5 linked regions of the Macaca mulatta genome follow. The protein of the gene in region 3 interacts with the protein of the main gene of each other region in a pairwise test. Links are inferred from orthologs where the notes say so. Each region holds a gene or a part of one and is shown on either strand. Other genes may lie near its edges. The genes, in order: ARMCX1, AP1M1, ZBTB8A, ZBTB48 and KIF9.

Region 1 (3,597 bases), on a different chromosome or scaffold from region 3:
AGCAGGAAGAAACGCAAAGTTGTCAAGAACCAAGTAGGTCATAATAAGGGTGATGGCATTATTTGGGGGTGGAGCATGGTGGCGACTGCAACTCGAGTGGGCCCGTGGACCCCCTCCACATCTCCCTTCTTCCCTTCTTCCCTACACAATTTCGGATCTTGCAAAATAAATTGCTCTGCAGGTACAAGACAGGGAAGCAAATAGCTGAGAAGGGGTGGGCGTCAAGAGAGTCCAGGGGTTGGGAGGACGTTACTCCAAATTACTGTTTGAGGTACAGTGTCCTTGGTGTTGGTCCGTCGACCAAGCACTCACTTCTGAAGTTTGTTAGTCTTGAAGGTTTAGTGGAAGCAGAAACTGAGGTAAGGGAGGTAAGAAATTGCTCCCGAGCAGAGGTAGTTGGTATAACGACACGGCGGGGGTGGGGGGTGAGTGGGGGTGTCCTGGTACCTTTGAGATGGAGGAGTTGGTGGAGGCAAGGACAGAGTTGGAGACCTTTACACATTTCACGCCAGTCCGGCTTTTAGATATTCTCACTTCATTTTGTTACAAGGAAAATGTTAACAATGAAAATGTGTGGCGACATCTTCGGAGGATGCCAATGATAAGAGTAGGGGTGGAGGTGGAATGGAGGGTTAGAGGAATCATCGAAGGAGGAAGAGGAAGGGAGACAATGAATTCCAAAGCCGCACCTCGGTGAGGAGTGGAGGGCAACCGAAGGCGGGAAACATCGGGCAAGGCAGTTGTAAAGGGCTAGGAATTCAGAAGAGGGATGTATGTCCCGTCCCGGGTGATATCTGTATGTCCCCCTAGCTCTCGGCACCCCCTCCTCGCGTCCTTGTCTGCAGGTTTGCACGAAGCAGTGCCCTTGGAAGCAAGAAAGAGAAGGAAAAAACTGCCTGGACCTCTGTGGGTGCATGTGGGGGCGCCACTGTTCCCAGGACATCTGAAGGGCAGGATGGCAGGGAACTTTAACATTCTGGGGCGACGTGGTGGAACGTGAGGTTGGACAGTCTTGAAGTGGGGAAAATTTCCAAACTTAGCTTCCGGATGGAAGAAAGGAATCAGTGATCTAGATATTAAGCCCCGAGTTTGCCAATATATCTGTATTTTTGTACGTTTGTTTGTCTTGCCGTTGTTTCAGTCTGTTTGCGTGGCAAAGACACAAAAGGAGGAGGAGCCTGAAATCTGAACTGCATCCTTTATTCCTAGGTCAAGCTGCCTCAGAGCCGGCCAGCAGTAGCTGCAGACTCCGCCCGCGACGTGTTCGCGCTTCTCTGGGCCAGAGCGAGCCTGTTCTGTGCTCCGGTTAAGAGATTTGTCCCGGCTATACCATGGGCCGCACTCGGGAAGCTGGCTGCGTGGCCGCTGGTGTGGTTATCGGGGCTGGTGCCTGCTACTGTGTATACAGACTGGCCTGGGGAAGAGACGAGAACGAGAAAATCTGGGATGAAGACGAGGAGTCTACGGACACCTCAGAGACTGGGGTTGAGACTGTGAAAGGAGCTAAAACTAACGTTGGGGCAGGGTCTGGGGCCAAACTTCAGGGTGATTCAAAGGTCAAGCCTGAGGTGAGTTTGGGACTCGAGGATTGTCCAGGTGTAAAAGAGAAGGCCCATTCAGGATCCCACAGTGGAGGTGGCCTAGAGGCCAAGGCCAAGGCCCTTTTCAACACGCTGAAGGAACAGGCAAGTGCAAAGGCAGGCAAAGGGGCTAGGGTGGGTACCATCTCTGGGAACAGGACCCTTGCACCGAGTTTACCCTGCCCAGGAGGCAGGGGTGGAGGCTGCCACCCTACCAGGAGTGGATCTAGGGCTGGGAGCAGGGCAAGTGGAAAATCCAAGGGAAAGGCCCGAAGTAAGAGCACCAGGGCTCCAGCTACAACATGGCCTGTCCGCCGAGGCAAGTTCAACTTTCCTTATAAAATTGATGATATTCTGAGTGCTCCCGATCTTCAAAAGGTCCTCAACATACTGGAGCGAACAAATGATCCTTTTATTCAAGAAGTAGCCTTGGTCACTCTGGGTAACAATGCAGCATATTCATTTAACCAGAATGCCATACGTGAATTGGGTGGTGTCCCAATTATTGCAAAACTGATAAAAACGAAAGACCCCATAATTAGAGAAAAGACTTACAATGCCCTTAATAACTTGAGTGTGAATGCAGAAAATCAGGGTAAGATTAAGACGTACATCAGTCAAGTGTGTGATGACACCATGGTCTGTCGCTTGGACTCAGCTGTGCAGATGGCTGGGTTAAGACTGTTAACCAACATGACTGTGACTAATCATTACCAACATTTGCTTTCCTATTCTTTTCCAGACTTTTTTGCTTTGTTATTCCTGGGAAATCACTTCACCAAGATACAGACTATGAAACTAATTATAAACTTTACTGAAAATCCAGCCATGACAAGAGAGCTGGTCAGTTGTAAAGTACCATCAGAATTGATTTCCCTTTTTAATAAAGAATGGGATAGAGAGATTCTTCTTAATATCCTTACCCTATTTGAGAATATAAATGACAACATAAAAAATGAAGGGCTTGCATCATCCAGGAAAGAATTCAGCAGAAGTTCACTTTTTTTCTTATTCAAAGAGTCTGGAGTTTGTGTTAAGAAAATCAAAGCACTAGCAAATCACAATGATCTGGTGGTGAAAGTAAAAGTCCTGAAAGTATTAACCAAACTCTAATTTGGAGTCTGTCCCAAAGAGTATTGAGGTATTTGCACTTGGTACGATGTGTTTTGTAAATTCTTTGTTTTTCATTGTGAATATATGGTAAAGAGATCTTTTCAGCTGCTATTTTGGAATAATGACTATCATATATCATAACAGTGACTGATGTTGGTTTTAATGGTTGGGTTGAGGATGAACCATTTTAATGATGCCAAATGGAATATTAGTACTTGTACACAGAAAGAATTTATTGATTTGATCTTATTACCTAGATTGAGATATTTTTACTCTTTCCTCTACCTAAACTGACAATGAATTAGTTATACATCATGAATAAGCTACACTTTTATATTAGTTTATATTTGTTAATCTAAGACTTGTGTTCCATCAATAAAGTTGTGTTTTAAGCAGCAGAAAAAAAAGACATTGTCCTTGTCCTTCAGTTTATGATCTGTTTGGAAAGGTAAGATATATGGAAACTAAAACAAAGAGATATTAACAAACCCAGGAGACCATCAATGCTTAGAGGCAGCAGAAACAGCTGCAGGCAACAGTGCGCAAGGAAAGTTTTACAAAGGAGAACTCTTAAGTAAGCTGGGTTTGAAGGACAGGATACAAAAAGTCAGAAGGGCACTCAAGACAGGAGGAGGGATGAAAAGAAAGGCATGGAGATGGGAATCCTTCTCCAGAGAGAAGTGCTGACCTGCTGGAATGGTAAGTGTAGGGAGGGTAGTGATGACAGAGAGAGTCAGGCGGTAAAGGTGAGTCCTATTCATGGAGCACCCCTAACTGCTAAACTGGGGTGTGTGAATATTACTGCATCCACCCCTGGGAGACATCAAGGCCTTTTGTGATCAGAGGAATGACAAGATGAAAGGAAAACGATATGGTAGATTTATGTGCAACAGGAGTCCAAGCT
Region 2 (4,152 bases), on a different chromosome or scaffold from region 3:
TGCTAAGAATTCCTTCGTTATCTTGTCATGCTCCAAGGCCCAGGAAAAGCCTAGGCACAATTCTGGGTGGGCTTTTGTTACATCCCAGCCTTTGTACAAGGGCACTGGCTCTCTCGTCTTTTAATGTTTAACTTAACCCTTGTAATCCCAGCACTTTGGGAGGCCGAGGTGGGTGGATCACCTGAGGTCAGGAGTTTGAGACCAGCCTGGCCAACATAGTGAAACCCCGTCTCTACTAAAAATACAAAAATTAGCCGGGCGTGGTGGCATGTGCCTATAATCACAACCACTTGGGAGGCTGAGAGGCAGGAGAATTGCTTGAACCCGCGAGGCAGAGGTTGCAGTGAGCCGAGATCGTGCCACTGCACTCCAGCCTGAGTGACAGAGTGAGACTCCATCTCAAAAAAAAAAAAAAAAAAAAAAAGCAAAAAGCCTCTCTTGGCTGCTTGCTCTGTGCCTTGTGCAAGAATCCTTCCAGCCCAGGATCACTTAGTAGTCCTCAAACATTCTAGTTTGCTTTTCTAGAGGTTCGGTCACATTTCTATCCTAAGACTATATAATTACCGAGTTGCAAAAATCATCTTTCCAAACGCCAAAACGGAGATAGGAGGGAAAATAAAAGATGTGAGAGGCAGGCATCCTGGGTAAACCACTCTGATATTGCAGGGTTGGGATCCCCAGGGTACTGTGATGGCTAACTGGAACAGAATGCAGGTATTTCTCCAAAGCCCAAGATTTCATAAAAGCAAATTAGATATGATTCAATGGATTAATCAAGGGCCACCAGTTGCATTACCGACTACTAACTTTGCAGAAATGAAACACGGTATGCTGGGTCAAGGTTCAGTGAGACTGGTTTTCTTAACATTCCAGGCAATAAACAGGCATGCTCATTCACTGATAAGTTGACAATGACAGGTGGTGACTGTTGATAAGGTCTGATTGCCATTCAGAAAGTTTGACCTCTTTCCAAGTAACCACGGCCTTACCTCTCCCTTTTGAGCTTATCACAATTGGTGACTGTACACTTGTTTCATAGACTTCCCCACTAGACTGTGAGCTCCATAGGGCTGGGTCCCAGGTCGGTTTCACCACCAGGCTCTCTCGCCTAACTCGGCCGACGGGAGGCGGTTTTCAGCTGCTCTGGCTCCATAGCTCAGCCTGGCAGCGGCCAGTGGGTGCCCTGATTTGGTCGGCCCCGCCTCCCAGGGCCTTACTTCCGGGAGGCTTCAGGCGGGAGCAAGAAACATGGTCACATACAACGTAATGCGCCTGCGCAGAGTCCGTCCTGCGCCTGCGCATTCCTGGCAGCTCCTCCCGGACCGGACATAACGGTCCCCGCGCGGCTCCCCGAACCGGAAGTGGAGGTGAGCTGTCGCGGGCGGCGCCCGGCCTTGCTCAACGCCTGGCAGTCCCCACCGTCGCTGCCGCTGCCGAGGCCTCCTGCAGCCACCATGTCCGCTAGCGCCGTCTACGTGCTGGACCTGAAGGGCAAGGTAATGAAGGCTCCCCACCCTCCCTGTTGCCAGGCAACCGGCGGGGGCCTCCGCCCGCGGGGACCCACCCTGTTGCTAGGTAACCGGCTTATGAGCCCCACCCTGGTGTGAGGCAAAGAGGCCGGTAGACCTCACCTGAGAGCCCCACCCTATTTCTGGGTAACCGGGCGGGGGTCGTAAGTGGGTAATCCACGCCCTGTTGCTAGGTAACGCGGTGGGCTGCAGCCACCGCGTTGCCAGGTAACCGACTGCACCGCCCTCTGCTCCCAGGCACCCGGGCCAGAGGCTCTGGGCTCGGTGGAGGACCCAGAAGCGGGGCCGCAGCCGGCCTTGGAGCCAGGCAGGGTGTCCAGGGGCTGCGCGACCCTTGGCCGGGGGTGGCGAGGCGTGGCGGGGACTGGGTGCTCTCCAGCCAGTCCCGCCCTCTCAGGGCGTTGCAGCTTCTGTTTATCGTGCACTTTCTCTCAGGAGGAATTTCTCCATGTTCATTGCGATAGTGAGTTACAAGGGTTAGGTGAGTGGATGGTGATCACGAGTACCGTTTTATAGAGGGAGAAACTGAGGCACGGAGAGGTGAAGTAACCTGACCAAGGTCACAATGGTCACAGAGAAGTAGGAAGTCTAGGAGTCCGATCCAGAAGCATTTGTTTATTTAGCTGATATCTGGGGAGCACCTACTAATGCCAGGCAGGATAGTAAGCCTGGGGTCGATTTGTGTTTAGCAAAAAACAATCCTGCTTTTTTTTTTTTCTTTTTGAGATAGTGTCATGCTCAGTCGTCCAGTCTGGAGTGCAGTGGTGCGATCTCCACTCACTGCAACCTCTGCCTCCTGGGTTCAAGCAATTCTCCTGCCTCAGCCTCCCAAGTAGCTGGCATTACAGGCACCTGCCACCACGCCCAGCTAAATTTTGTATTTTTAGTAGAGACAGGGTTTCACCATGTTGACCAGGCTGGTCTCAAACTCTTGACCTCAAGTGATCCAGCTGTCTCAGCCTCCCAAAGTGCTAGGATTACAGGCGTGAGTCACTGTGCCAGGGCTCAACAATCTGTGTTCTTATGACGTTCACAGGCTGATTGGGGAGATGGATACCGATCTCCAAAAACACAAATAAATGTCAGTTGCAGTGGGGGGGTGGGGCGGATGTGTTATACAGATGGTCAGCCTCAGCCGGAGGATGAGAGAGGGTTTTCCTAAGGAGGGGTGACAAATGGACCTGAGATACCAGGGAGCTGGACATAGACTAGAACCCGGGCATCTTCCCCAGAGGATCTGAGAAAACTGAAAGAAGGGATTGTCCCCGCCTTTTAGAAATGGTCCTCTGCCTTCTCCCAAGTCCATCCCAGGTACAAGGCAAGTGGCTGCCTGGCCTGTTGCATGTGGAAGCAACAAGCACCGGTCCAACAATGTTAAACCCAACATTGGTCAGTGAGAGAAACAAACGTGGGTGTCAGGTCCTAGGTGAGGCGGGCAGGGGTGAGCCCTAAAGCAGCTGAGAGTGAAGAGGTGAAGTGGCTGCCCCTTCCTGTCCCACCCCACCCCCACACTTTCCTGAAGTCCCTTGAGTGGGTGCCTGCCCTGGAAGCCAACCAAAGCCAATAACTGATGAGATCCAGTGCTGGGTTTCCTTCCCCCACCTTCTTGGAAGCAGGGAAGACACCCGTCTTAGATCACGCCAGGGGCTGGGTGTGTGCAGTGTACCCTGAGTCCTGGTGGCATGAGTCTTGCTTCCGCCCTGGCCACTGCCTCCCCAGAGGTGCCAGCGGGCTGCCTGTCTTGGCTGGCTTATTCCTTCAGCAAACATTTCATGAGCACCTAGGATGCACCCTGTCCTGTGCCAGGCATAGGGTGTCCATTGGCACCGTGGCTGTGGTGTTAGGGCTGAGCTCAAAACCCATCTCTGCTGCTCAGCTGTGTGACCTGGGACAGGCACCTTCTCTCTGAGCCTCGCTTTCCTCACTGGTCAAAAGAGGCTTTCATGGAGTTATTGTGCAGATTTGCCGAGCAGATGTGTGAGACAGGCTCAGCACCACCCATGGTCCATGTTAGCTTTCCCAGGCCTCTCGGTCTAGCAGGGGAGTCCTCTAGAAGCAGAGACATTACCACACAGTTGGATCCAGGCAGCCACAGGGGCAGGAACAAGGTCCCAAGTCCTGCAGTTGCTCAACCTCGTCTTTAGCCAGTGGAAGGTGGAGGTGGTTATGAAAGGCTCCCTGGAAGAGGGCAACGCCGGAAGTGGGTTTGGAAGGTGATCAGGCACGATCTGGTGGAAAAGAGGTATTGCAAGGGGCAGCCTGCTGGGGCCGCTGAGCCAGAAGTCCTGGCTAATGCTGAGATGGGAGAGAGGGACCAAGGGGACCACTTCATTTCCAACAAGGAGCCACCGTGAGGAGACCATAGCCCAGAGAGGCATGATCAGACCTGCCTTTCAGAAAGCTCCCCAAGGCAGCCATGGGCTTCCCTCCCTCCCTCTGCAACCATGATGCCCTTTCTTATTCCACAATCCACGGACCTCCTGTTTCCAAAGTCGGCCTCGTGAGCCGACTGCATTTCATCAAAAATAAAGCACACTGAGAAATTCGTGGCCACGTGTCTGGTCACCGAGGACACTGGCGTGGCCACACTGGGCTGGAAGGAAGCTCTCCTAGTAGGAAGCTT
Region 3 (3,513 bases):
CCGTCTCTACTAAAAATACAAAAAATTAGCTGGGCGTGGTGGCAGACGCCTGTAATCCCAGCTATTCCGGAGGCTGAGGCAGGAGAATTGCTTGAACCCGGGAGGCAGAGGTTGCGGTGAGCCGAGATTGCGCATTGCACTCCAGCCTGGGCAACAAGAACAAAATTCCGTCTCAAAAAAAGAAGAAAAAAAATGTATTTGTATCTTTTTTTTTTTTTTGAAATGGAATCTCCCTCTGTCACCCAGGCTGGAGTACAGTGGCGTGATCTCAGCTCACCACAACCTCCACCTCCCGGGTTCAAGCAATTTTCCTGCCTCAGCCTCCTGAGTAGCTGGTATTACAGGCGTGTGCCACGCCCAGCTTATTTATTTTGTATTTTTAGTAGAGACAGGGTTTCACCATATTGGCCAGGCTGGTCTTGAACTCCTGACTTTGTGATCTGCCTGCCTCATCCTCCCAAAGTGCTGGGATTACAGGCGTGAGCCACCACGCCCAACCTGTGTTTGTATCTTAATAAGCTAAATATTCCTCTGAGTAAATACACAGAAAAAAAAAAGACTATTTAAAAGTGAAAATATCGGCCGGGCGCGGTGGCTCAAGCCTGTAATCCCAGCACTTTGGGAGGCCGAGACGGGCGGATCACGAGGTCAGGAGATCTAGACCATCCTGGCTAACACGGTGAAACCCCGTCTCTACTAAAAAATACAAAAAACTAGCCGGGCGAGGTGGCGGGCGCCTGTAGTCCCAGCTACTCGGGAGGCTGAGGCAGGAGAATGGTCTAAACCCGGGAGGCGGAGCTTGCAATGAGCTGAGATCTGGCCACTGCACTCCAGCCTGGGCAGAGCAAGACTCTGTCTCAAAAAAAAAAAAAAAAAAAGTGAAAATATGTGTCTTAGAGATTGAACTATTTAGAAAAGAGCTTTAAACATTTAAGAGTAATCTAACCACCCACAGATACAGGTTTGAAAAATCATGGGTTCTGCCGGGCGCGGTGGCTCAAGCCTGTAATCCCAGCACTTTGGGAGGCCGAGACAGGCGGATCACGAGGTCAGGAGATCGAGACCATCCTGGCTAACATGGTGAAACCCCGTCTCTACTAAAAAATACAAAAAACTAGCCGGGCGCGGTGGTGGGCGCCTGTAGTCCCAGCTACTCGGGAGGCTGAGGCGAGAGAATGGCGTGAACCCGGGAGGCGGAGCTTGCAGTGAGCTGAGATCCGGCCACTGCACTCCAGCCTGGGCTACAGAGCGAGACTCCGTCTCAAAAAAAAAAAAAAAAAAAGAAAAATCATGGGTTCTGACCCTTAGTACTCTTATTATTTGGATTGTCATTATATTTATTCAATATTATTTTGAATAAATCCACGTTTTATGAAACAAATTTCTTCTTCCTTTTTTTTTGAGACACAGTCTCGTTTTATTGCCCAGGATGGAGTGCAGTGGTGCAATCCCAGCTCACTGCAACCTCTGCCTCCCAGGCTCAAGTGATTCTCCTGCCTCAGCCTCCTGAGTAGCTGAGACTACAGGTGTGCACCACTATGCCTGGCTAATTTTTTTTGTTTTTTGAGAAGGACTCCTGCTCTGTCACCCAGGCTGGAGGGCAGTGGCGCAATCTCAGCTCCCTGCAACCTCCGCCTCCTGGGTTCAGGTGATTCTCCTGCCTCAGCCTCCTGAATAGCTGGGATTACAGGCACATGCCACCATGCCCCGCTCATTTTTTTGTACTTTTAGTAGAGATGGGGTTTTGCCATGTTGACCAGGCTGGTCTTGAACTCCTGACCTCAGGTGATCTGCCCACCTCAGCCTCCCAAACTGCTGGAATCACAGGCGTGAGCCACCACGCCTGTCGTTACTAAATAAATTTCATTACAGAAATAGAACTTTTGAAAAAAATCAGTTGCTTCAACTGCTTAGAGCACCTGAAACTAAGGGTGTTTTGACAGAAGACCGATTTATATAGCACTTTGGAACCTAGAGGAGGGGACTTATGCCCTTCTTGGGTACCTGGAAAACTTTTGGATGTGACATCAGATCCTTGACCGTACTGATAGCCAACAGGAGGAGAGTCCATTTCAGCATCAATCTGTGCTTGTTCTTCAGACTGGGAAACATGGCTGGAAGAATCAGATGTTCGTGCTTCTCGTTTGCTTGACTTATAATGAGTAACTTCAGAAGGCTGTGACATTCTCAAATGTTTGGTCTTTTTAATGGACTCTTTCCTTGGTTCACGCTTGGCCAAGGGTTGTTGAGTATTCTTCTGGGAGGCTGGATGATAATTATACTTATTCCAAGATTTTCCACTTATTATACCTGCTCCTTGCTCTGGGCTTAGGTGAGAACGTGGAGAACTGCTTCCTTCTTGCCAGCCACCACTATAAAAAGAGGAACGTTCTACACCATTAGAATTGGCATCTTTATCTGAGAGACTGAAATAGCGATCTTTTTCTTTCTCACTAATGTCTAAGGAAGATTTAATAAAAGTCTTACATACACTTATGACATCAGTCATCTGAAGGAAGCTAGCAGCCGACATTACTTCTATGACATTCTGACCAGTAAGAGACAGTTTGCCAGAATATACGAAGTCCAAGATAACTGTAAAAGTGTCAGGGGAGAAAGCCTGAAATGTAGCTGTGGTTGGCTGACTTGTCTCTTTTGAATTCTGAGAAAGAAGCATTTTAAAGTAGCCGCTACTAGCAAATAATACATTTCGATGTGCTTTGAAGACCTTCCCTTCAACTAGAATACTGCAGTCACAAAATACATCTTGCCTGCGCTGCTCGTTCAGTTGCTGCAGGAGGTGAGACTGATGAGAGGAGATCTCCATTCTGAAGAGGAAAAGACACGTGTGGTTACCAAAACCTACATTACAATTATTTTATTTTGTTTTGAGACAGGATCTTGCTCTGTTGCCCAGGCTGCAGTGCAGTGGTGTGATCAAAGCTCACTGCGGCTGGGCACAGTGGCTCACTCCTGTAAGCCCAGCACTTTGGGAGGCTGAGGCGGGAGGATCACCTGAGGTCAGGAGTTCGAGGCCAGCCTGGACAACATGGTAAAACCCTGTCTCTACCAAAAATACAAAAATTAGCTGGGTGTGGTGGCGGATGCCTGTAATCCCAGCTACCTGGGAGGCTGAGGCAGACGAATTGCTTGAACCTGGGAGGCAGAGGTTGCAGTGAGCCAAGATTGCACCACTGCACTCGAGCCTGGGCCACAGAGCAAGACTCCATCTCAAAAAACAAACACCCAAAAAACAAACAAACAAAAAATGCTCACTGCAACCTTAAACTCCTGGTTTCAGTGATTCTCCTACCTCAGCCTCCAAGTAGCTGGGACTACAGGTGTGCACCACCATGCCTGGCTTTTTTTTTTTTTTTAATAGAGATAAGGTCTCGCTATGTTACCCCAGCTGGTCTCTAACTCCTGGACTCAAGCAATCCTCCTGCCTCAGCCTCCCAAAGTGAACAATCCTTTTCTAAGGTGAGTCAACTAAAATAATAATCAGAAGCCTCT
Region 4 (4,276 bases), about 26 Mb from region 3:
CAACTGGACTTTAATACTCCACTGACACCCCAGAGTGAACACTTCCCTGGAAACACAGGTAGCACTGACCCAAGGCTCAGCATTGTGGCCCAAAGCCCACACTGCCAGGCTTCAAGCCCACACTGCCGGGCTTCAGAAACACCTAAGGTTGGGCCTCAGCTCTAGCACACGGGCCACAGGTTTCTCATTCTGTCCGCAGAGGCCAGCTGAAGGTCAAGGTCCACAGTGGGTGGAACCTGTTGACAAGATGTCCACAAACCCATCTCCAACCACAGTACTCACAGGACAGTGAGGAAGAAGAATCTAACCCAAAGCAGACTCTCACTTCCTGATTGCCAGAGGTGTGCCAAGGCCAGGCACTATGTGGGTCTGAGATGGATCCCCCAGCCCCTACCTCACCCAGAAGTGGGACGTGCAAGACCCCTCCCCCAACGCGGGAATGGCAGACAGGAAAATAGAAAAACAGAAAGTTTACCTGTTGTGGACTTTTAGATAATATTTGCTGAGGAACTTTTTATGACATGTGGGGCATTCGACCGGCACCGCTGTACCTTTTCTGTTCTCAGCAGGCTCAGCTGCTAGGGAGCCCGCACTCAGGGCTGGCTCAGCTGCACAGGCCTTTCGGATTACATTTGACTTCCTCCTGGTCAGCACAGCCTCAGGCTCAGACATGTAATCACCATCCCCGTCGTCCTCCACTTGAACCACCACTTCCCACTAGAGCACAATAGGCAGCAGGAGGGGGTGGGGTCACCAAATGAATCAGCAGGAGTTGTAGGGACCCAGCTCCAGTTCCATCCCAAGCCCCAACCCTGACAAGTCCCTTCATCAGACACTGTTCCTTCAGGGGCCCAAGGCAGAGCATCTGAGTCTTGGATTCAGAGGAAAGTGACTGTATTTGTGGGGAACTGGAAGCTCGGATGGAAACACTATCCTGGGGAAACACCTGTAACCCTGATGCTGCCCACTCCTCTCAGGAAGGTGGCAACCATGAATAGCTGGGGCTTGCAGAAAGGTCAGCCTGAGATCACCAGCTTCCTTTGTTTGGAGAAAGCCCGTTCCAAACCCACATTAACAGAGATTGTCTTAAGGTCCACTTTTTTTTTTTTTGAGACAGGGTCTTGCTCTGTCGCCTAGGCTACAGCGTAGTGGCACCATCTCAGCTCATTGCAACCTCCACTTCCTGGGCTCAAGTGATCCTCCCACCTCACCCTCCCAAGTAGCTAGGATTACAGGTGTGTGCCACCACACTCGGCTAATTTTTGTATTTTCTTTGTACAGATGAGGCCTCGCCATGTTGCCCAGGCTGGTCTCGAACTCCCAAGCTCAAGTGATCCACACCCACCCTGGCCTCCCAAAGTGCTAGGATTACAAATAGACTTCGTCCATCCCTGTCGTCCTCCACTTGAACCACTCACGTGAATGAGCCATCACACCCAGCCCAGGGTCCCTATTATACCAAAAAAAGTGTCTATTCCCTCCATTTGTCTCCCCAGTCCCAGCACCCTGGGCACAGTACCTCATTACTCCCGCCCTGCAGCTGGCCACCTTCAGCCTCGAAGGGCCTTGGAGGCATTTTGCAGTCCTCAGGTTCCTTGTCCTCGGGGGAACAAGGCTTCAAGGCCTGCTTGAGTTTCCCACAGAGGGAGGAGGGACTCTCTCTCTGAGCTGGGGAATGGAGCTGGGGCCTCTGAGGACTATGACTGCCTCTGGGCTCCTGATCTCTGGGGACTAGACCCAGAGTCCTCGAAACTTCCTCTTCTTGCAAGCCTGCCGGCTCCTTGAGGAGGCTGTTCACATTCTGGGAGGCAGGGGGCCCCAGCCCACTCTGGCCACCTGCTGCCTGTCCCACTGAAGTTTTGGGCTTGAAGCTCTGGCACAGCTCTACGGCCTCTGGCACTCGCAACTCCCTGGCTGCCAGGAGCACCTGATCCCGGTTCCCTGAGGTGAGAGCGAGGTGACCAGTGTAGAAAAAGTCCAACAAGAGGCCAAAGATCTCAGCGAAGCCAGCAGGGAGGACGACACTACCTCCTGAGCCATCCCCGTAGAGGCTCTGGAAGAAGTGGCTGCAGCAGGCAAGGACACTCCAGTGCGCCTTAAACACCAGGCCCCCAACGTCCAGAGTGGCGTCGCAGTACTGGCCCTTCTCCCGCTGCTTGTTGAGCTCCTGCAGAACCCTCACACTGTGCTGGACGAAGGAGCCGTCCATGGTCTGGAGGGCAGGGAGGCAGAAGTGACACCCTGGCCAGCCCAAGCGAGCGTATGCAAGAGAAAGCCCCTGGAGTCGAAGAGAGAGAAAGGGGAAGTTGGCCTCCACTCAAATAATCACATTTATCAGCACGAGGGCTTGGGTCAAGGTGAGGGGTGCACGCGGAAGGCAGGAACATACTTGACAGCCTCCCGGGGACCGGGGGCCATATTGGGTTGGCCAGGGGGGATGCTGATGGGGGGGTCAGGGTCATGAAGAAGGGCCTGGTGGGAAAAATCCAAGTTTGGGGAAAGAAGGCACGGGATGAGCGCGAACTGACTGGCCTGGCACAGTGAGAGGATCCTGGACTGGGGAGGACGGCGGCCGCGGACAGGTAAGCGGAGCCCACGCCGCGCCCACAGGTCCCGAGCGGCCGAGCGGAAGGCAGCCACGGCGGCCCGCAGCCCCTCCCTCCCTCACCTCGTGCCCTCCTCACCCAGGCAGGTCCTCCCTGAGCTGGCCCCACCAGCCCCCGGCTCCGTCGCCTCCACAGCCCACGAACCAACTGCCCGGCTATGCGTGCCCCGCCGACCGTGCGGAGACGCAGCCGTCTCCGCGCCGGACGTGACGTCAGAGCGTGCCGGCCAGGAGGGGCGCCTCGGAAGCGTAGATCTTCTAGCTCCGGCACCCGAGGGCGGGGCCCCGCAGAGAACGGCCAATGGGATGAGGGGATGAGGCCACGCCCTGTTCTTTTGGCGCTGGGCCCGCCTCCGGGGTTGCCTAGCAACGTCAAGCTGGGCACCAAGCCTTTTCCAGGTTCTGGGTTCAGACTTGAATCCGCGGCACCTCACCCTCTTCCCCGACAGGAGACCAGATACGCATTTCACTTCTTTATTGGCAGCCCGGAGCCTGGTCTGGGCTCTCCCGGGCGCTTACACGTCCCAACCCCAGACTGAGGTGCCCAAAGGCCTCCCAAACAGCCCTGGCCTGCTTGACCTTCGACCCTCAGGACAGAGAAAGCTACCAGCTATGCCTGCTGACCCCACTGGTCAGGTGGAGCCGCGGTGCCTCGTGTAGTCCTGAATGGAGGCCTGGAAGTGCTCTGTGCTGTTGAGGTCTGGGCGGCAGAGGATCACGTAGCACTTGGGCAGAAAATACCCGCCGAAGCCGCTGCTCAGGCTGCTCAGCCCAGCCAGCATGTTGACCGCGGGCAGATACTTGCCGTCGTAGACACTAGCCGTGGTGAAGAAGGCGATCCAGGACATGAAGTTGAAGAGCAGGCTGAAGGTGACACATTTGGCCTCGTTGTAGTTCTCTGGCAAGTCCTTGCCCAGGTAGCTGCAGGCAAAGGCACTGATGGAGAGAAGGCCATTGTAGAGAAAGGCCAGTATGAAGCCCAGGGAGTTGGCCTCTGTGCACTCAAGCATCACCAGATGGGGGAAGCGCTGGTATTCCCTAGTGGGCAGTGGAGTCCACACCACCAGCCAAGTTAGACAGATAAGCAGCTGAGCCGCTGAGCTGATCATCACAAACAGGCCAGCACCATGGTTTTGGACCCAGACGCGGTAGAAGGTAGGTGCCTTGGCGGAAAACTTGAAGATGATGATTAGTTGGAAGGAGCGAACTGTCAGGCAGGACAGGAAGATGGTGAAACCAAGGGCAAAGAGGGCCTGGCGCAGCAAGCATGCAGGCCTCGTGGGCTCCCCAAAGAAGCCATAGAGGCTGCCGCTACCTGCTGCCAGGGAGCCCAGCATAAGAAAGCACAGGCGGCCCCCTGCTGACCTCACCACAGGGGTGTCTAGGTGCCAGGCAAACAGGCCAGCAGTCCCAAGCAGCAACAGCAGCAGCAGTGTGTTAGCTGCCAGCAGCACCCAAGAGGTGTGCTCTTGACAAGCCAAAAACACCACAGTGCGTGGGAAGCAGGTCTGGCTTCCCTCAGGTGCCCACTCTTCTTTCCCACAAGGCTGGCATCTGTAGAGGTCTGAAAGGGAAGGCCAAGAAGGTTCCTGAGAGCCAGATGAGCAGAGTAGGAATAGGAAATAGGGGCCTGCAAGATACTGGGAGAATTGTACCCAGGCAGCTAGACTG
Region 5 (3,513 bases), on a different chromosome or scaffold from region 3:
AAGTACTAGGATTACAGGGCTGAGCCACCGCACCTGGCTGGAATTACAATTTTAAAGAGTAATTGTGGTGTACCTAATTTAGAAGCTTTTGAAAAAAGATTTTCAGAAGGTAAGTGAATGAGTCTTGGAAATACCTAGGAGAAGAAAATTCCAGGGCAGTGGACAGGCAATGCAGAGGCAGAAGCATACCAATTTGTGGAAGTGGTTGGAGTGCACCAGGGAAGAGAAGCAGAAAAGAGGTAATGGGGGCAGATCTCAAAAGCCTCATAGATCGCTGTGTTTTTCTGCAGAAATCTAAGGACATAAATATGAGTACAAAAATGTTCTTGCAGCATTGTTTGTAAGCAGCAAAAAATTAGAGGTGAGGCCAGTCACAGTGACTCACACTTGTAATCCCTGCACTTTGGGAGGCTGAGGAGGGCAGATCACCTGACGTCAAGAGTTCGAGACTAGCCTGGCCAACATGGCAAAACCCCGTCTCTACTAAAAATACAAAAATTAGCTAGGCGTGGTGGTGTATGCCTATAATCCCAGCTACTCGGGAGGCTGAGGCAGGAGAATCACATGAACCTGGGAGGCAGAGGTTGCAGTGAGCCGAGATCACGCCACTGTACTCCAGCCTGGGCAACAGAGCGAGACCCCATCTCAAAAAAAAATAAAAAATAAAAAATAAGAGGTGACATACATGATTATCATTGGGGAGTGGTGATATGTTCATGCAGTGGTTGGTGAGGATGAGGGTAAAAGGATGAGGGTTATAACCATGCATAGAAAGCATCCTGGAGGCCGGGCACGATGGCTCACACCTGTAATCCCAGCCTTTGGGAGTCCGAGGTGAGAGGATTGCCTGAGCCCACGAGTTTGAAACCAGCATGGGCAACATAGTGGGACCCCTGTCTCTACAAAAATTAGCTGGGTATGGCAGTGTGTACCTGTAGCATGACCTACTCAGGAGACTGAGGTGAGAGGATTGCTTGAGCCCAGGAGGTTGAGGCTGCAGTGACCCATGATGGTGACACTGCACTGCAGCCTGGAGGACAGAGCAAGAGCCTGTCTCTAAAAAGAAAGCATTCTGGTGCTGGGTATGGTGGCTCATGCCTGTAATCCCAGCACTGTGGGAGGCTGAGGTGGGCGGATCACCTGAGGTCCGGAGTTTGAGACCAACCTGGCCAACATAGTGAAACCATGTCTCTACTAAAATTATAAAAATTAGCTGGGTGTGGTGGTGGGCAACTGTAATCCCAGCTACGCAGTAGGCTGAGCCAAGAGAATCGCTTGAACCCAGGAGGCGGAGGTTGCAGTGAGCTGAGACCACACCATTGCACTCCAGCCTGGGCAACAAGAGCAAAACTCTGTCTCAAAAAAAGAGAAGGCATTCTGGAGTCTATAGGCTGCACCGAAAGGGCCATTATCCTGGTAGACTGGAAGAAGCTTGGGGCCCCTGGGAGTTGGGGTTTGAGGTGGCCCTGTAGCTTGTGCTGTCTCTTTTGAGGCAGTAGCAAAGGCCAGGGTACTATTCAGGTCCTCCCAGACCCTGAACTCACCCCAGTTGGGGAAGAGTCACCAGTGGGGAGGTAATCGACAGAAGCTGAAAGCATACCCTGTGGATCCAGGAATGGCCGGGATGTCTGGGCACAGAATGAAGAATTGTGCTCTTGCTGTGGAAGAGACAGGGTAGCTTCTCTGATGACCCTTCCTGTTGGCCCCCACCCTACCATGTTTCCCGGCAGAGAATGGTCAAGAACCTGGAGAAGGAACTAGCACTGCTCAAGCAGGAACTGGCCATCCATGACAGCCTGGTAAGAGGCTAGAGGCAAGGAAGGAGGGCAGAGGTGCTGGGATAAGGGGCGACTGGGGCTAGGGGCAGACAGCATAATGGGTCAAGGCCGGTAGTAGGCGGGGTCAGGGGGCAGGCTGAGTGGCAGGAAAGGGGCAGCAGCAAGGGGCCATGAGGACAGGGGGTGGGGGCAGAGTCCTCCGGTGGTCCTGAGGGGCCTCAAGCCAGAGGCAGCGCATGCCTCCCGTCCTCGCGGTTCTTATGCTGCAGAGTCTGCTGGGACTCAGGCAGCAGAGCCTCTGTCTGGAGTAGCAGGCCCCATGTCTGAGGGACTTTCCTTTCCTCCCCGACCCCATTACCCATCTCTGACTCAAGCACCTGGCCTGTGTGTTAGGCCCTCTGGCAGGACCCGATGATGAAGGGAATGAGCCAGCTTGGTCAGCCAGGGCCTGTGCCCAGCCTCCCTACTTTGCCTCTCAGAATGGCCCCTGCCACTCCCGCATGGGCTTGGGTTCTTGTTGCTTATCCACATGTTCTTCATCCTCCTTCAAGACCAACCGCACCTTTGTGACCTATGAAGCCATGGATGAAATCCAGATTGCTGAGATCAACTCCCAGGTGCGGAGGTACCTGGAGGGGACGCTGGACGAGATCGATGTAAGGAACCCGTCTGTGACCACTGTGCTGAGCCAGCCTGGACCTCCCTATCCTGGGCACACCCCAACGCATGCTCTGCTAGCCTCAGAACCTCACATGAATGGGTGCAGTGGGTGGAGGGTGGTGCTGGACTCTTGATGTCAGGGACCCTTCAGCTCATCTCAGGGGCACAAGCACAGGCCCTAGAGCCAGGCTTTCTGGGATTGAATCCTAGCTCAGCTGCTTCTTTGCTGAGTGACCTTGGCAAAATACTCAACCGCGTGTACTTCAGTGGCCTTACCTGCCTAGTGGGGAGGGAAACGGAGTGGTGATGAACTGAACTGCTGCACCTGGGTGGCTTGACTGTGTCCGCAGAATGAAGCTGATAAAGGATGGTGGTCATGCTGGTTGTCTACAAGGTAGACCCCAGGGCCCATGTTGGAGTGGGCCAAGGAGGGGGAAACTGCCCCACAAGGAAGGGTCCTCAGGGGGAAGAGGCTGCATCCTGTTTTCACAGTGCAGTCCATCGAACCCCTCTTCTTGGAGACATGGGCAGACCCCCCTGTCTGTTACTATGGGCAGCTCCAAGAAGCAGGCCTGGGGCAACTAAGGGATGGACTCTTCTGGCCTTCATAGGAGGGGCAGTCCCAGATTAACCCTTGGTCAAGGGGAATGCTGTGGGCTTTAGGCCCGGGGGGAGGCCAGTAACCTTCCTCCGGCCTCATGTGTACGTGTCTGTGCCCATGCAGACAGGTCCATAAATGGGCTCCATCTGAAGACAGCAGGCAGAGCCTTTTGGAAGAGAAAGCTGAGGAAATACGTTTTATTTATAAAAAACTTTAGAAGGTATTTTCAAGGTATAGAATCATTTCGTTTTATAGAGGTCTTCACTTAGAAAAGGTGGTTTTTATAGCCTCAGCAAACACTTAGTTTTAAAATTATTAATCAGGTGTTTCTCTGCTCTGGAGAAGGGCTTGGCTGCCACTTTGCTGAGAGGCTGTGTGCAAATGTCCTCTTCTCGAGACAGATGGTCCAGGAGTCAGCCAAGGGGTCTTGATTTCTCTACTAACATAGACGCAACCTGGTCCCTCTAGGTGCCC

Evidence for each region.
Region 1: the proteins of ZBTB8A (region 3) and ARMCX1 interact in binary tests that used the Homo sapiens proteins (3 or more experiments, as listed by UniProt). The two-hybrid records come from large-scale screens. The link is inferred for Macaca mulatta from reciprocal best matches to the Homo sapiens genes ZBTB8A and ARMCX1.
Region 2: the proteins of ZBTB8A (region 3) and AP1M1 interact in binary tests that used the Homo sapiens proteins (3 or more experiments, as listed by UniProt). The two-hybrid records come from large-scale screens. The link is inferred for Macaca mulatta from reciprocal best matches to the Homo sapiens genes ZBTB8A and AP1M1.
Region 4: the proteins of ZBTB8A (region 3) and ZBTB48 interact in binary tests that used the Homo sapiens proteins (3 or more experiments, as listed by UniProt). The two-hybrid records come from large-scale screens. The link is inferred for Macaca mulatta from reciprocal best matches to the Homo sapiens genes ZBTB8A and ZBTB48.
Region 5: the proteins of ZBTB8A (region 3) and KIF9 interact in binary tests that used the Homo sapiens proteins (3 or more experiments, as listed by UniProt). The two-hybrid records come from large-scale screens. The link is inferred for Macaca mulatta from reciprocal best matches to the Homo sapiens genes ZBTB8A and KIF9.

What each region holds. Positions count from the first base shown.
Region 1 is NC_133426.1:108,428,086-108,431,682, forward strand, and holds ARMCX1 (armadillo repeat-containing X-linked protein 1), read left to right. Parts: upstream 1-1,331; coding exon 1,332-2,693; 3' UTR 2,694-3,091; downstream 3,092-3,597. UniProt on the Homo sapiens protein: Regulates mitochondrial transport during axon regeneration. Increases the proportion of motile mitochondria by recruiting stationary mitochondria into the motile pool. Enhances mitochondria movement and neurite growth in both adult axons and embryonic neurons.
Region 2 is NC_133424.1:16,678,050-16,682,201, forward strand, and holds the start of AP1M1 (AP-1 complex subunit mu-1), read left to right. Parts: upstream 1-1,341; 5' UTR 1,342-1,454; coding exon 1,455-1,496; coding exon of another isoform or gene 1,497-1,567; intron 1,568-4,152. UniProt on the Homo sapiens protein: Subunit of clathrin-associated adaptor protein complex 1 that plays a role in protein sorting in the trans-Golgi network (TGN) and endosomes.
Region 3 is NC_133406.1:208,282,120-208,285,632, forward strand, and holds part of ZBTB8A (zinc finger and BTB domain-containing protein 8A), read right to left. Parts: intron 2,829-3,513; 5' UTR 2,828-2,828; coding exon 2,005-2,827; intron 1-2,004. UniProt on the Homo sapiens protein: May be involved in transcriptional regulation.
Region 4 is NC_133406.1:234,203,605-234,207,880, forward strand, and holds the start of ZBTB48 (zinc finger and BTB domain-containing protein 48), read right to left. Parts: upstream 2,801-4,276; 5' UTR 2,669-2,800; intron 2,279-2,668; 5' UTR 2,210-2,278; coding exon 1,520-2,209; intron 718-1,519; coding exon 476-717; intron 1-475. Other genes in the region: TAS1R1 (taste receptor type 1 member 1), read right to left, coding at 3,238-4,169. UniProt on the Homo sapiens protein: Plays a critical role in transcriptional regulation and chromatin remodeling. Acts as a regulator of telomere length. Directly binds the telomeric double-stranded 5'-TTAGGG-3' repeat.
Region 5 is NC_133407.1:110,597,951-110,601,463, reverse strand, and holds part of KIF9 (kinesin-like protein KIF9), read left to right. Parts: intron 1-1,730; coding exon 1,731-1,799; intron 1,800-2,329; coding exon 2,330-2,434; intron 2,435-3,513. UniProt on the Homo sapiens protein: Essential for normal male fertility and for progressive motility of spermatozoa.